Linked DNA regions of Arabidopsis thaliana. The protein of the gene in region 1 purifies or fractionates together with the protein of each later gene. This does not show direct contact. Each region holds a gene or a part of one and is shown in the gene's direction. Other genes may lie near its edges.

Region 1 (6,805 bases):
AACGACGATCTTAGCTACGTAGCAAGCAAAAGAAAAGTGCCTCGTGGACCTGATCCTATACACAACAGGTTCTTACTACTTTCTCGTTTTATTTTATCACTTTTAACTAATCCTTACCCCTACCTGCATATATGTGTCTTGGATGTTTCTGTATGATATTTCATTAATATATAATAATATATGACATAAACCCGTGTGTGGTGCCACATTCATATTAGTTAGGTCTAAGTTCAAGGGCTATAAGCCTAAAATTCTCTACAACCCCATATTAGATTCCGTTATGTTCAAATTATACGCGTGGACCACTTGGTCACTTGCATTTCGACCATGGTGTTGTTTAACATGTGGTTTTTACCAAGGACATGCTCTTAGTATGGTCTAGATATAAATTCGATATTGAGATTAATGAATGACATCTAGAAATGACTATATTAGATGAAATCAAGCAAGCTAACTCGTTGATTGTCTATATGTTTATGCATGTTATAATAAGTTTTGTTTCGGGTCACCATAAATATACTTCTAGCACAATTTTACTAAAAAAACAAACACTTTGTTTCTTTTAACTAACTCAGATTCGGTGAGACATATCACAGAAGCTCGCAAAAGGCTGTCTGCTAGCTTTATTCAGTCTTTACGTTTAACAATCTATTTTTAATTATTCACTATAAGATGGCTTCTTTTAAAAACTTTCTTTTTTCCTTTATGGAAGCTTTAGCCCTTTGAACACTCCCTTTTTTTTCTTAGTTATATAGGTAACCCACTTATGATCACAGTTAATTCCATGTAGATCGTATTAAAGTAGTCTATTGACTAAATCACTAAAATATCAATTAATGAATTAATGTTGTATGATTTGTTATCGTTTATACGAAAGTAAAGAAAAACAAGAAAACATGACTTGGATTAAGTAACTCTATGTTCTGTCTTAATACAGGAGAGCAGGGAATTCAAGACGACCACCAGGAAGAGCATAAGTACGGTTAAAGCTTGGGTAAGAAGCAGAAAGAGAGAGAGAAGTATAATTGTTGGCAAATTAATATAGGTCTTGTATTGCTGCTAGATTCTCTTTTCCTTTCATTTGGGATCGAATCTTTTAAATATGCGCAAAATATTTGTGACCCTACAATTCTGTTTTTTTTTTTTTTAAATGTTTGTTTTGTTCCTATAGTGAAGAAATATTGAGCTAGTTAGGGGAGGTTTTAAAAAAATGAAGACACTGATTATTAAAAGGATTTCAAGAAAGAAAAGAAGTATACGTACATGCAATGCAATCCTGTTTTCTCACGCATTGCACGACTTATATTGGGATTATTTCTAATTTGATCCATCATCAAATAACGTTTAGATGCTTTATTTCCTTACTCACATTGTTTATTGGGTACTTGCACTAAATGATCATTAACATTTATTAAGTTAGGTAAATAATTGTGTACTCCTTTTATGTGCAAAAACACAAAATGGGTACTATTTTATTACTAACATGCTTTCTTATCAAATAGCAGTACCCTATGTTGTTCTAAATAACATGCTAATTCAATTCAGATTTGGCAGACAAAATAACATGGTATTTTAGAGAGAGCGCGCACAAGTGTGTTTTTTTAAAACAAATGAAAACATCATAATTACGTACCTGATTGACCCTTGTGTATATATTCACGATTAGAAATTGTAGATTACCAAAACACTCGCACAAAATGGTTCTATATATAGACAATATATGATTCTTATCACATGTTTTGAATGAAAAAAAAAGAATTAAGATGGATTTTTTTTTTGTAAAGAACAATTGTACTTTGAAAGAGTCTTATCCAATCATTAAAAAAAATGTCGAATCCATTATTTATTGATGTATTCTGAAAGCATATATTCTTCCAAAGGGGCAAATAAAAGAGATGTCGACAAAGATTGGATACATAAGATATTAATAATTTATAAATGCAATGGCATATATATATGATATAATTTGAGCTCTAAATGCCGAAATTTGAAAAGGAGAATGTGTGTAATGGTTCTTACAAATAAAGGAGACCACAATGCTTCTTTGTGTTATGCTTTTTTCCCATCTTTTATTCTTTTGTTCTTTTGTGGGGTTAACTCTACCACTACTCATTTTCTCGCTCTTTTTTCACTTATTTTCCATATATTTCTAATTTCTAAATTAATTTTACTAATCTTGAAATACAAAAAACTATTAGACTTAGCTTACTAATTTACTACACCACCAACATACACACTACGCAACATATGCTAATATGTATTAAAATGAAAAGAACAAAAAATGAGAACCGGTATTACAATTTATCGTAGTGTATGACTAGTTATGAGATGAGAAGGTTCTTGAAAAAAGAATTACTAACCAAATAATGTAGATTAATTATTTGCAAATAAAGAAAAGCAAGAATATATAGCAAAATCATGAGTTTACGGTTCGGCTCTATAAAATCTTCTACAACCATCCACGATAAACTTGATACATGAAATGTCTTCTTCCATTAAAACATGAGTTCCACATATAAAATGGTTTACAAGTAACTCTCGAACATATGTGCATGGTAAAGCAAATATATAATACCATTATTTTTTCTGTCTTAATTAAGCAAAATTAAACATATATATAATATATGATCCCTACATGTTCACTTTTAAAGTTCACAATTTCAAGAGTTTGAATATCTTTAATTTGAATTATTACCAAACGCATTAGACAGACTAAACAGAGACATAATAATCAATCAACTTCTTTTTGTCTTTTTTTTTTTTTTTTTTTTGGGCTTCCAGTCTTCATAATCAAAAGTAACTGAAGACCAGTCTTAAAGCTGGAACATTTGAACTAAACATATACGACTGCTCCTATCGCTCTAGAAATTTTAATTAACAATTATTCATAGTTACTTAATTACAAAGACAACAATAAAGGTGAACGAATAAATTAAAGGAAAATTATGAAAATAGTTTAATTTGTATGAAACTTTTCATCCGCATACCAAATGTCATATACTCTTATCTTACATTTTTCTCTTGGGACATATTTTTGGAGCGAACACTTTCGCATGTACGATAAGGTTCAGTGGTCTGAGCTTCGACTACGTTAAAATGATGATTAGGGTTTACTAATTTGGAATTAGGAGTTACATTTAAGGTTAAAAGTTTATGAGTTTCAAGTTTCAACGAAGCTTTAAAGTTTAAACGATGGTTAAAGTTTTATGATTATGGTGGGCTATGTTATAGTTCTTTCAATTTCGTTGGGCCAAATGGGCTAAACGATTAACGACCCTATGAATGGGCCTGAAAAAATGAAAGCCACGTGTCAGACCCCCACAATGGACTTTGACTCGGTGCGGCTGCCGGAGAGAATAATTAATTATCAACTCCGATGAAAAGAAAACAAATACAAAGTTCCAACAAAAATCGAAATTCACAATTTCTCTTCTTCTAAATCCATGGAGTGATGATGATGATAGATAGATTGAATCCAAACACAAACCGGATCCGAGATTAAAAACAATCCGGATTGTTTATATTTACTTTAGATCGGAGAAAGATGCCGCCGGCGACCGGAGATATCGATCGTCAGATCGAGCAGCTTATGGAGTGTAAAGCGTTATCTGAAACGGAGGTGAAGATGTTGTGTGAGCACGCAAAGACGATTCTTGTGGAAGAGTATAATGTTCAACCGGTTAAATGTCCGGTTACCGTCTGCGGTGATATCCACGGCCAATTTTACGATCTAATCGAGCTTTTTCGTATCGGTGGTTCTTCTCCTGATACTAATTATCTTTTCATGGGTGATTATGTTGGTGAGAGTCTCTCTTTACCTTATAGCTTTTTTTAGGGTTTCTACATTTCTCACATCTCTTGATTTGGATTTGGGTATTTTCCCTAATTTGGATTTGATTTTGTTGACCTTTTGGGGCTAATGTAGACTTATTTGGAAGTGTTTACTAGAAATGGATAGATTATTGTTTATCTATCGAAAAGTTTTGGTTTTGGAAGATTTTGTCATTGAAAAGACGAAACTTTTGTTTTAGCTGTTAACTATTCTCAGGGCTTCTACAATGGAGTAGCTTGACCTTGGGAGATATAACATTTTAATGTAGTTTGTGAAGCTTCATGTTCGAGTACTCGGATTTGTGTTTCTCTTTTCTCTGTTTAAGTGCCTTAAGCTCCGTTTCCTACTTAAGTTGCTCAATTAGCTAACTAATGGATCATTGTTAAACTTGTGAAGATCGAGGGTATTATTCTGTGGAGACAGTCTCACTTTTGGTAGCACTGAAAGTTCGTTACAGAGATAGACTTACTATCCTAAGAGGGAATCATGAAAGCCGTCAAATTACTCAAGTGTAAGTTGTTTTCTCTACTAAGTTTTGTATTATAAGCTTCTCAGCCTCTCTCAAAATGTTTCTTGCTGATTGCTTACCTTTTTCAGGTATGGGTTTTATGATGAATGTTTGAGGAAATATGGAAATGCTAATGTATGGAAGCACTTCACTGATCTTTTTGATTATCTTCCACTTACAGCTCTTATTGAGAGTCAGGTATTTAAAAAACTAATGAGCGTTTTCACTACCTTAGACAATCTCTTCTCTGTTTCTGCTGTTTTGGACTTGACTACAGAACTCTTTTTTTCTGTAGGTTTTCTGTTTACATGGAGGACTTTCACCTTCTTTAGATACACTTGACAACATCCGATCTTTAGATCGAATTCAAGAGGTTAGTTCCAGAATCCAAACCAACAAAAGGATGCACCTTACTTGATGTTTACATAACGAGACTAAGATGTTTGTGTTGCCTCTAGGTTCCACATGAAGGACCAATGTGTGATCTCTTATGGTCTGATCCAGATGACCGATGCGGTTGGGGAATATCTCCTCGTGGTGCAGGCTACACTTTCGGACAAGATATCGCTACTCAGTTTAACCACACCAATGGACTCTCTCTGATTTCAAGAGCACATCAACTTGTCATGGAAGGTTTTAATTGGTGCCAAGAAAAGAACGTTGTGACTGTATTTAGTGCCCCAAACTATTGCTACCGTTGTGGCAACATGGCTGCGATTCTAGAGATCGGTGAGAACATGGACCAGAATTTCCTTCAGTTTGATCCAGCTCCACGTCAAGTCGAACCCGAAACCACTCGCAAGACTCCAGATTATTTTTTGTAAGTACCAAAAGAACTAAAGCTGCAATTCCACACACTAGCTCTTCGTCTCTTTTGCTTCTATTCTTAACCACTTTTTGTAATTTCATATTCCTTACGTCTATTTCTGTTTGTTAAACTCTCCATTGTCTTTTAAAATCCGTAATTTTTTGTGTGCAAAGATTCTGGTCCAAGTAACTGAAACCGCTATCACCAAATTCTATTGAAGCCAACTTTGTACAGAGAAATGATGATCATGTTACACAGCAAAAGCCCTAGCTAGGTAGATATAAATATGAATGTTGTGGAGAGGTACAGACAATAAACAAACAAGCTGGAGCTGAGATCTAATCTATAGAAAAACAACACTCAGATCAAAATAAGATGAATCGAGAGTTTCAAGAGCTTTCTAGTTCGCTTTGGATCCAATCTTGTGCACACATCAAGGCTTGCACGGTACTCGGTCTAAGCGAACGCCATGTTTCACTAACCCGTCTCCTTTGACAAGTTTCAAAGGCGTCTTCTTCTGATGATACATTCAACATTGGAACTGCTAACACGTTACGTGCCATCATGGAGAGAATTGGGTACTTAGGTGTGTGAACTTTCCACCAGTTCAGGATGTCGAAATCTGAATTCCGGGGAAAAAGTGGCTCTTCTAGATACTTTTCTAGATCTGATTTAGAGTCTTGACCCGGTGTAGTAGTTGTTTCGTTAATGTACCTATCGAATTCTGTGAGTCTATCGTCAGGCTCTTTCCCATGGGCAACACCGTTTGACCGATGATGATGATTCTGCCAGTCAAGAGCTTGATTTGACGACGCTAATAGCGATCCTACAGAATGCTCATCGTACAGCAGTTTGATGCACTCAGAAATATCTTCAATGAGCTCTGAAGCACTAGTACCATAAAACAGAGGGTAATAGTATTCAACCAGCTTCATTTTGAACCGCGGGTCTAATATGGTAGCGATGGCTAGAACCAGGTAGTTTTTATCCCAGAAATCGTCAAATTTCTTTCTCATGTTTACAACTAGAGAGCTAATGAAATCATCCGGGTTCTTGCTCCACTCAATTAACCGGAGGTGTATGTCGCATACCTCTGGGAAGTACATATTGGCGGGTAAACAACTGCTCTTTGTGAATGCATTTATCACTTCAACAAAGACTTTCAAGAACTCAACAATTGTTCCTAATCTCTCCCATTCCAAATCAGATGGACATAACACGGAATCAGGATCATGTTCATTCATGAGCGAAAACGCGCTCTTTTGCTCTAAAGCATTCTCCAGCATGGTGCATGTTGAGTCCCATCTCATTGGGTCATCGATGCATAGGTTCCTTTCACTTACAGCTCCCGTTTCAACTATCCACTGGTTGAATCTATCTTGAATAGATTCTGAGCTTTTAACATATCTAATACTCTCTCGAATAATGTTTATTGTGTCACAACAAGCTTCCAGGGAATCTTGAACCATCTCGTTAATGACATTAACTCCACAGCTCACATCAAACAATTGGCCGTAACAGTAAAGGAACTTATTCTGCGATAACCGGTCTCTGATTTTACTAGCTACGTTCTCACTAAACGGAGGAGCATGACTCGACGCCATAGAAAACAACTTCCGGTCAATATCCCACTCCATCAAACACGTCATTATAACTT
Region 2 (10,341 bases), about 20 Mb from region 1:
TTCTTCTTCAGATCTTCCGGCGAAAGATCGTAAGAGCAGTCAACGTCGCCGAATTCCCTGAGGAGATTCACGCCGGCTTCTCCCAGTTTCTCGGTGACGAGGATCCTCGGCTTTGGAAGAGTTGGATTGTATTCATCAGAGTCAGATCCGACGGTTGAGAATCTGTTATCCTCTGTTAACGTCGTTTGCTCGACGGTTTTTAAGGCGGCGCTTATGGCCGTTAGTTTGACGCTTGTTGCGTAACGGCGGTGAAGGAAAGCAGGGAGGACGGCGAATCTAGAAGACGGTGACGGAGACGGAGACGTCCACCGTGAGTTGACGGCTTTGACGGACGAACACGAAGATGAAAATGCCATGACTCTTTTTTTTAATAATAAATATGATTGGTTGTTGTGAGTGTGTGCAGAAGAGCTAAAGTGGTTAATATAGAGCTTACAGGAGGTAATGGATGAGTTTTAATTTAATCTTTCACATTGTGGGCTACCAACATTATGTATTAAGTTGAACAGTTTGTTTGGTAAAAGAGTAAATAAAATGAGAAGCACATGCACAGAGAGTAGGACGTTCTTGTCTAGGTGCATCATCATTGTCTCAATTAAAACAAAAAAAACACATATAAAGTAGTATATAATAAAAGATTCATTTAAGCATTCAATTAATTGTTACTATAATTTAGCACTGAAATACATTGTCATCTATATTAGTATATTACGGTTAATATTCATCATCATGTGCATCCTTATTAATAAAAGAAAAATAATTGACGACCAATCTTTTATGTGATTCTCCCACTAAAATGATGGAGTTTCCGAAAGCATCTTTAAACCATAACTTTATGTTTCTTTTACTTAATTTTATTTTTGCAGAGAAGATAGATTCGGACTTTTCCTCACGAATTTTTTCAACTTTATTCATTAACAAGTGTATATGAAAAGAAACATGAAAGAACAAGACTTTGCAATGAACAAGACATGGGAGAGAGGGAGGAGACTTCACCATATCATCCTCTCTCCCAAGTTGACAACTGCAACAATCCACCAAGAGTACTATAAACATTCTTCTCCTTGGAAAGAATATACCTTTTACTCCAGTGTATTCCTTTCTGGACCTGGAAAATTTGGTGGAACTACTACCAGAGACACATCTGGAGAATTAACATTTGTACAACTAATCCAAACCATTAAGCAGATGATGAAATTTCTCATTGTAAAAACACACTCTAGGTTTTATATAAACAAAAGCATGTACCAGGGTGAGCAATTTACACAAACATTCCCATCATGTTCAGGGATTAATAGCATCAACATCTCAATAAAAGAAGAATCCAAATACAGTTTTTTTTTTTGTTAGGTTAGCTAATTAACCTCTGGCTTTAAGCTCGGCAAGTCTCCTGGTTAAATCATCCTCCTCAACTTTCTCTTCAGTCTTGGTAGGAATGGCATGACCAGCAGGCTGAGGTAGTCCAACAGAAACTTCAAGACCGTAATCATCTGCTACTTGCTGCATCAAGCTGTTGACTTCTCCTTCTGGAGTCGACAATGAAGTAGAGCCAGCCATTGCATTATCCATGAACTCAGCTTGGACTTCCATGTTCACAAACTGTTTCTCAAACGAATCCATCGTCTCAGACATCTTCTGTAAGTTGCCTGTTGCAAAGAACAAACCAGAAAATGATAACACGAGTTGCTACAGCACAACGTATAAGAGTATTATAAGCCCTATCTTCTTCTCCCTCTATACTACACTTACCAAAAGGAGAGAAATGCAACAAAAATTCATCACAGATCACAGAACATCCATGACGGTGAGAGAGAGCTATTCTAATATTTCATCAAACCAAACCCTAATGCATGATTCCATATCCTTCAATCAGCAAAAACAACAACAAGGAGCAGAATTTTTCAATCTATACTATAATGCTATGAGCACCAACAAAACCAAATTGATTAGATTGCTGAAAAGTGAGAATGTGAAATACCAGTGGTAAGAGACGATTCGAGGGATTTGACAATGTTGGTCATCGATTTGGTGATGGTAGCCATCTTAGCCTGGGTATCGAGTCGAGCAACAACAGCGTCCAATCGAGAAGAGAGACGAAGGTAGTTCATCTGCTCGCTGCGTTTGCGAATGGCGTTCTCGGCATAGATCCGAGCACCATCCATGTTACCTTTCTCAATGGCTTTCTTTACCTTGAGCTTCTCCGATCTCTCCTCTTTTTCGCACTTCCTAGCTTGCCTCTGCAGAGACTTTGACGTAAATTTCAATTCAAAGATCTGGTTCATCAGCTTATCTGTATTACCCATCTCCTCGATCAGTTAATCGGGATTCGCTTGTTTGATCAATCGGAATCGGAAAAAATTAGGGTTCTTTCGAATTTGGGGAAAGATATCTCAAGCGTGTTTCTTCCGCAGAAAGAGAGGTTTTAACTTTTAAACGAGGAGGCTTCCTAACATTATGTCCTAAATCGAATTGCACTGACTGGTTCTATTATTCGGTTATATCCGGTTTAAGTTTTAATCTTTTAATCCGTCACTGAGTCTGAGTGGTTAGTAGTTATAAAAAAAAAACACTCCTTTGACTTATTCGTTTCAGTTTTGATTATTCACCATCCAAATACATTTGGTATAAACTATAGTAATACTTTTTAAATTCATTTGATTTGTACTGGTTTCAATCGTTTTTCTTTTTTTCTACCGCTTGGGTATTCTCATGAGTTAATTTTGACCCCTGAAAGAAACTTGTAATTTTTCTCAAGTAAGATATGATAATATCAGATTAGAAAAAACAAATGTGCAATGGAATTCTATTTAGGATAATTTGGCAAAAATAATTATTTAGTACTTACTAATGATAATTATACATTTTCCCCCATCACACAACACAACAGTGGAAAGCGCAGCACCTCCACAACTGACCAATGATAGGCGAAAACATATGTCACTGTCCACCGATATGTAGTGGTCAAATAAATAATGTCACCGACTGTAACGCTAAGGATACTTTGGAATCAGGACAAAAACATTATAGTATTAGACATATTAACTTATACGGATTTGTTCCTTCGTTTTGGTCTCGAAGGAAAAAAAAAAGAAAAAAGTTATAATTCCACTTTTGTCCTTTTAGAGAGAGAAAAAGGCCAAGGCGTTTTTCTTCTCTCGTTCCTCCATTTTCTACAGAGAGATATATCAAAAATTCCATTTTCTACAGAGAGAGAGAGAGAGAGAGAGAGAGAGAGAGGGACGAAATATTAATCATCGATCAAGTTGCTTCAATCGCGAAAAAATCCATGAATAAAACTATGGAATGGAATGTGAATCAAAGGATTTGGTTATGGTGATGACGCGATCTTCGATTCGATTCGGTGATTAAAAGATTTGGAAGCTCAGATCTCAAGCTCGGATTTCTAATTTTTGTTGGATTATCTAACCCAAAAGCCAAAAAAAAAAAATGAACGGTGGTGACGATGCCGCTACTAGTGGTCCTCCTCCGTCTTTAGAGTGGAGATTCTCTCAGGTCTTCGGTGAGCGAACCGCCGGAGAAGAAGTTCAGGAAGGTAATTATTGCCTACGTGTGTTATAAATTGTGAGATATATTCGGAGTTTAGCTCTTCTTTTTTCTTTTAGATCCGGAGTGTATTTGAGGACTAAGGGTTTGATTTGTTGTTTGGATCTGATTAGTGAGTTATTCCTCTACTACTTAGTGGGTCATTGATGAATCTCTGTGGCTTTTATTGCACTGTTAGTAGAGTTTCTAAGTTCTATGACAAGTTTGGATTGTTGTGTATTATGTGATATTAGAGCATCTCTATTTAGCTGATTGTTGCGAGGTTGTAACTCTCATTTTTGTACAAGTTTCAGCTGTACTGCTGTAAATTTGAATCATTTGATACGCTGATGATAGTTTTAAGTTGAGATTAAGAGGGTAATCTAGCTTCAAGGTTTTGTCTGTTCAATGCCATAAGCCATGTATACTTTTTTCCACTGGTACAATGGTGTCTCGACTCTGTTTAACAGCAAGAAAGGCATATGAAGCGATGAGGGATTGGGTTGTCGAGGGACAAGTGTGAAGGGTTATCATTGGTCATGCATTTTGGGTTCATGAATTGAATTTGTAATATTGAGTTGGTCTATAGCTGCTCTCTTCTGGCTGATAAGACTTCCCGGAGTATTGATGTAACTAGGTTGCCTTCAGAGGCACTTTCCGTATTAGATAAATTTAATCTGCTCTCATGTTATTGGATGTAATCTTCTTTACCGGTTTACATACTCTATGTTATGGAGAATAATATACTAGCTGCACCTCAAGGTTATTATGTGTTTAGCTCCTACAATTTAGTGGTGACTTCTGATGTAATGATTCTGTTTGCACACATTTCTTCCGCAGTTGACATCATTTCAGCCATCGAATTTGATAAAAGTGGAGACCATCTCGCAACTGGTGACCGTGGGGGCCGAGTAGTTCTTTTTGAAAGGACAGATACTAAAGATGTGAGTTCCTTTTTCTTCTGCAAGATTTGTTTCGAAAAAATGTTATGTGCTGTAACGCACTCTTGCAAAATGTTACTTTCAGCATGGAGGGTCCAGGAAGGATCTTGAGCAGACGGATTACCCAGTTAGGCATCCTGAGTTTCGATATAAAACAGAATTTCAGAGTCATGAACCAGAGGTACATTAAAACTTATCACCAGATTTCACTTACGAGTAATTGTGTTCCTTGAGCTACTCAATAAGCTTGCTTTTCAATCTGTTTCAGTTTGACTATCTCAAGAGTTTGGAGATAGAGGAGAAAATCAACAAAATCAGATGGTGTCAGCCAGCTAATGGTGCATTGTTTCTGCTTTCTACAAACGATAAAACCATCAAATATTGGAAGGTGTGACATCTGGATGGATTTTTATATCACATGTCTGCAAAATATAGGCCACTTATAGCAATTCCTTTCTGTGTAACTCGGTTCCATAATCTTGTTTCATATGCTTTATAGTGTAGAAATATTAGGTGTCACGTGTGAAAACTGTCTAGAAACTGGTTTCTTTTGCTTCCAAGACTCAATTCAAAATAAGAGAAATAGTTTGTTTCTTTACTCTTATAATTTGACTCCTCCTCTTATTTGGAATCAAACAGGTACAAGAGAAGAAGATCAAGAAAATTAGTGAAATGAATATTGATCCGTCAGAAAGTTCAAATATCCCTCCTCAATTAGTTACTAATGGATTACCTGCTGATAAAGGGCATGACTACCTGAGCAAGGACTTTTCTTTCCCGCCAGGAGGCATTCCATCTCTGCGTTTGCCTGTGGTAGTTGTACTCGACGCAACTTTTTTTTACTTTTTGTTTGGGTGTCAAATGAAGTGAGTTTTAATTTCAGGATTCTGAAAAGTAAATGCGTATAGATATTAAGCCTGTTTTTTACTGGAAGTTGTGGATATTTTCTTCATGTTGATGATCCAGCTACTTGAGTTATGAAATGTAGGGAATTTACTATTGGCCTTGTTTCCTTTTGTCGTAACTAAAGCTCAGTACCAAATTAGTCTAATGCACTAGTCAATTTGTGTTCTACTTGAACTTATGGGTGTTTCTGCATATATAGGTTACCAGCCAGGAGACTAACCTTGTGGCTAGATGCCGAAGAGTGTATGCCCATGCTCATGATTACCATATTAATTCAATCTCCAATAGCAGGTAATCGTTTTCCTAAGTTTTCCCTCAGGTTATATGTTTTACTCTTGATATCTCTTTAACACGTTTTTGCTGTCTTTCTCCTTAATTTTTCCATCTCAGGAAACAATGCTAATATCTAAAAAATCCTTAGAATTTTATTTTGCATGTCTTTCCATGTCTGGTCGTGCTATTATTCTCTTTGTCGAAAATCTTGTTGATCCTAAATTTCACAACTTGTATTGCATTGTTTTGTTCCTTGTGGTAATGAATCGTTCCCTTAATTGTTACAGTGACGGAGAAACCTTTATTTCGGCTGATGATCTGCGAGTAAATCTCTGGAATTTGGAAATTAGCAACCAGAGTTTCAATATTGTTGATGTTAAGCCCACAAACATGGAGGACTTAACTGGTATGCTACTTCTCCTATTTTGTTAGATGTTACTTTGTATGGTCTTACCATTGATTCATATGTCAACAACCTCCTTACTTTTATTATCTATTTTTTTCACGTTTACTGCTTGTCGAGCATGCTTCTAAATGCTACATGGTCTGTGCAGAGGTTATTACATCAGCTGAGTTTCATCCTATCCATTGTAATATGCTCGCATATAGTAGTTCAAAAGGCTCCATTCGTTTGATTGATATGCGTCAATCAGCTCTGTGTGATTCTCATACGAAATTGTAAGTTCTGTTCTCATCATCCTTTATCGGAAATGGTAGTTGCATGTTTCAATATATACTTAAGAAGGGGATATGAATACGTGGGTTCATTTCCAATTTTTCTCTTTTCTTGTCAGAAATGACTTGGAAATGAAGATTAATAGGCTAAAGTTTCTGACCACTGACCATTGTTGCTTCATATCACAGATTTGAAGAACCGGAAGCACCTGGTTCAAGATCATTTTTCACAGAGATAATTGCCTCAATTTCAGATATTAAATTCTCAAAGGATGGGAGATACATACTTAGTCGCGATTACATGACGCTCAAGGTTGGAAATCATTCGGTTCCCTTTGTGTATATTTTTCTGATTGTGGGCCAATAGAGGTCTATTCTTTAGTTCTTTCTGATATCTTTTACCCTTTTTGACGTTTCAGCTGTGGGACATAAACATGGATTCTGGTCCGGTCGCATCTTACCAGGTTCATGAACATCTGAGACCCAGGGTGAGAGCTTCTTTCTGTGGCATCTTTTATTTGTTGATTCTGTGTTGAAAGCTAACCACGTTATGTTTTACCCGGTTGCAGCTATGCGATCTATATGAAAATGACTCCATCTTTGATAAATTTGAGTGTTGTCTGAGTGGCGATGGATTGAGGGTAGCAACAGGTTCTTACAGGTTGACTTGCTTGTCTTCTGGTCATTGCTGTACTTTTCTGTCTTGTATAAGGAATAAACTAATGACCAATTTATTATACTTAATCTCCGGTGAACCAGCAATCTATTCCGCGTATTTGGAGCGTCTCAAGGAAGTACTGAAGCTGCGACTTTGGAAGCTAGCAAAAACCCGATGAGGTAAATCAGAAAACAGAGAACATTGATAGTTAACCTTATTAAGTCATTGAAGTTTGTATTGATCAATTGTTGCAAAACTTTCGCATCAATGGTATATATTAGGAGGCAAATCCAGACACCTGCAAGACCATCCAGATCTATAGGCAGTATGACACGCGTGGTTAGACGAGGTTAGTGGTCATAGTACCTGTAAAACTTATTCAAGCTTTTACTACTCTCTTCTGGAGTAAAAAACTTTTGTTTTGGACGCAGGATCAGAGAGTCCCGGAACAGAGGCAAATGGGAACGCCTACGATTTCACAACAAAGTTGCTGCATATGGCTTGGCACCCAACAGAGAACTCAATTGCTTGTGCAGCAGCAAACAGCTTGTACATGTACTATGCATGAGTTGGGAAGAGAGAGAGAAGACATAAACATGGAATCAGCTTGCTCCAATTTAACTTTCCCTTTCTTCTTTTCCCGGGTCTCTCTCTCACTCTCTTTCTCTCTTTCTTTTAACAACCAAAGTCATGATGTAACCAGAAAAGGTGTAGTAGTAACAGAGTAATGCTGTGACCAAGACCAAAGCCTGACCAGTCACCGCGACGAGTCAACGGAAGAAGCAGCAACAGTAATCTTTCAGGAGTTAGTAAGGTAAAAAGTGTTGGGTTGGGAAAGAAAACAAGAAGAGGCCTTTTGTTTACCTGAAGAAGGGTAATGTCTTAAATATCCGAACCACCCCTCCTACTTAGGTTGTCTTTTTTTTGGGTTGCTGCACTAAGGATAAATTTTATTTTATTTTTTTAGTATCGATTCTATTACCTTTTTTTTTTCAATTAAGAAACAAATTATGGTGTGTGGGATTTTTTAGTATGAGACGATTGGGAGGGATGTGCTTCAAAATTTGTTTATTGATTCTTTTGTCATATCTTCTTCTTCTTCTTGAACACCACATCCATTCTGTTTTTTTGCTATTTGTCTATTTTTCAATTGTATTTTCAGACACCTCTTTTGTGTTTTTTACTTTTACCCACAATAAAAAGTAGCTTTCTCCTCCATTCCTCGTAGATTCTATTGTAAGCAAATAAAATTATCTTTGACTACTGATTGTAATACTTTAAAGGATGCGATGAATTGAATATATGTATCCTTACCTCAAGAAGAGTGTCGAGGGCAACATTAATATTACGTAACTTAATTTGATTTCTGCTAAGAAAAATGAAATGTTTGCCAATTGAGGTAGTGGATGCAGTGAAATGTAGTTTTTTCGTGGTGCCACAAGATTTACAACTAGATATAAAATATTATGTTCCTTGTTCTATATCACAATCTAAAGACACGAGGAAGAGAAATAAAAGAAGCTTGTTTTGATGCGTCTCTTCTGATAATGTCTGATAGAAGTATATTATTTTATAGATAGAGGATTACACACACACACACACATTTGTTTTGTTGTCATGCTAAGACTTGTTTGGTTAGAATACTTTTAATTGTTATTGAAGAAATCAAATACAGATGAATATTGAAAGATGTGGCTACCAAATGAAAAGATGATGTGATCCTTAACCCCTAGAATATTCTTTCTGCTTACAATTGTGATTTGTCACTCAATATTCCTTCCAAGTTGCAACCTTATTCCTTCCTAGTGCCTTCTGATGCAATTCCCATATATTTCGATAAATTTCATGTTTTTAAGTTTAAATCCAATCGAGTATGAATGTTGTGGTTTTTACAATTAACTTTATCGATCAAATGTGTGACATAAAGCAACTATCCCATGCACATTTATTTATTTTTCATCCCATGATAAATCAAAACTTATTCATACGATAAACACCAATATATTCATTTTGCATTTTTTACTTTTTTTGGGTTGCGTATTAAAAGAAAAATAAACCTTTTTGGGTAACGGATTTTATTTTCCTTTAATAAAAATGAAAATAATGACGAAAACGCATAAATAGGTGGAATATTCTTTTTTTTTATCTTATTCCATTCCGGTGTCTTCTCAAATCTCAACTGCCTAAATCCCACTAAATAAAACTTTTAACAAGCCAAACTAAATAATACCCACAAAATAAACCAAAGAGTCATCAACACCGTTGGATCAGTATACCTAGTCAATGTTTGACACATAAACGTCATCAGATCTAACGGTTCAAAAGATACGAATCATATCAGATTAGGATTCTTAATTATCTATCTTACCTTGCGTTTGACGGTAAGTAATATTCCAATGGCATCTTCCTCGAAAGATCCCTATTCGTCTCTAGCCTTTTCACCTTCTCTCACTCGTATATATATCACATTCTTCTTCTCCAAATTCCATAATCATACAGAAATCGATAAAACAGTACCTATAAAACATTGTATCTGATAGAATGGCTAAGAATAACAACATCGTGATCGTCTTCGATTTTGACAAGACAATCATCGATGTAGACAGCGATAATTGGGTCGTGGATGAACTTGGTTTCACTGATTTGTTCAACCAGCTTCTCCCAACAATGCCTTGGAACTCTCTCATGGTTTGTTTTGTTCATCCATCTCTAACTCTTCTCTGTTTCGGTTTCTCTAGGGCTTTGTTACGTTGGTCTATATATGTTCATCAGTCATAACACTAAATCCTTATTTGGTTTTATTTCAAAACAGAATCGGATGATGAAGGAGCTTCATGATCATGGTAAAACCATTGAAGAAATCAAACAAGTCCTTAGGAGAATCCCAATTCATCCACGTGTCATCCCAGCCATCAAATCTGCTCATGCTTTAGGGTAAAAATCCATGTTAAATTCCTCATTCTTCGTTTGATAACACGGTACTGAATCATACGACATAATATTTAGGTGCGAGCTGAGAATAGTGAGCGACGCAAACACGTTGTTCATCGAAACAATCATTGAACATCTCGGGATTGGTGAGTTTTTCTCCGAGATTAACACAAATCCAGGACTTGTAGATGAACAAGGAAGATTAATAGTCTCTCCTTACCATGACTTCACCAAATCTTCTCATGGTTGCTCTCGTTGCCCTCCTAACATGTGCAAGGTACTGCAGTTACACTAATCTCATATTGATTGATTAGTTCAAAAGATAAGATTTGTCATTACTATTTTCAGGGATTTTGGGAAACTTTTTGGTGTAAAATATATTATCTTTGATTCTGTTATGAGTCAATATGGACC

The links.
Region 2: the proteins of PP2A (region 1) and ATB BETA fractionate together in Arabidopsis thaliana (co-fractionation; one large-scale study listed by BioGRID). This does not show direct contact.

What each region holds. Positions count from the first base shown.
Region 1 is NC_003070.9:26,347,251-26,354,055, reverse strand, and holds PP2A (serine/threonine protein phosphatase 2A), read left to right. Parts: upstream 1-3,358; 5' UTR 3,359-3,544; coding exon 3,545-3,800; intron 3,801-4,228; coding exon 4,229-4,343; intron 4,344-4,429; coding exon 4,430-4,538; intron 4,539-4,635; coding exon 4,636-4,713; intron 4,714-4,798; coding exon 4,799-5,164; 3' UTR 5,165-5,335; downstream 5,336-6,805. Other genes in the region: CLE26 (CLAVATA3/ESR-RELATED 26), read left to right, coding at 1-156. UniProt on the Arabidopsis thaliana protein: Associates with the serine/threonine-protein phosphatase PP2A regulatory subunits A and B' to positively regulates beta-oxidation of fatty acids and protoauxins in peroxisomes by dephosphorylating peroxisomal beta-oxidation-related proteins.
Region 2 is NC_003070.9:6,091,172-6,101,512, reverse strand, and holds ATB BETA (Protein phosphatase 2A, regulatory subunit PR55), read left to right. Parts: upstream 1-3,073; 5' UTR 3,074-3,447; coding exon 3,448-3,553; intron 3,554-4,383; coding exon 4,384-4,487; intron 4,488-4,569; coding exon 4,570-4,665; intron 4,666-4,752; coding exon 4,753-4,872; intron 4,873-5,123; coding exon 5,124-5,300; intron 5,301-5,589; coding exon 5,590-5,681; intron 5,682-5,950; coding exon 5,951-6,069; intron 6,070-6,217; coding exon 6,218-6,341; intron 6,342-6,527; coding exon 6,528-6,651; intron 6,652-6,757; coding exon 6,758-6,826; intron 6,827-6,907; coding exon 6,908-6,999; intron 7,000-7,097; coding exon 7,098-7,175; intron 7,176-7,277; coding exon 7,278-7,345; intron 7,346-7,427; coding exon 7,428-7,564; 3' UTR 7,565-8,305; downstream 8,306-10,341. Other genes in the region: AT1G17744 (uncharacterized protein), read left to right, coding at 1-158; PGDH (D-3-phosphoglycerate dehydrogenase), read right to left, coding at 1-356; VPS46.1 (vacuolar protein sorting 46.1), read right to left, coding at 1,360-1,646, 1,979-2,303; PEPC1 (Pyridoxal phosphate phosphatase-related protein), read left to right, coding at 9,538-9,684, 9,809-9,930, 10,003-10,204. UniProt on the Arabidopsis thaliana protein: The B regulatory subunit may modulate substrate selectivity and catalytic activity, and may also direct the localization of the catalytic enzyme to a particular subcellular compartment.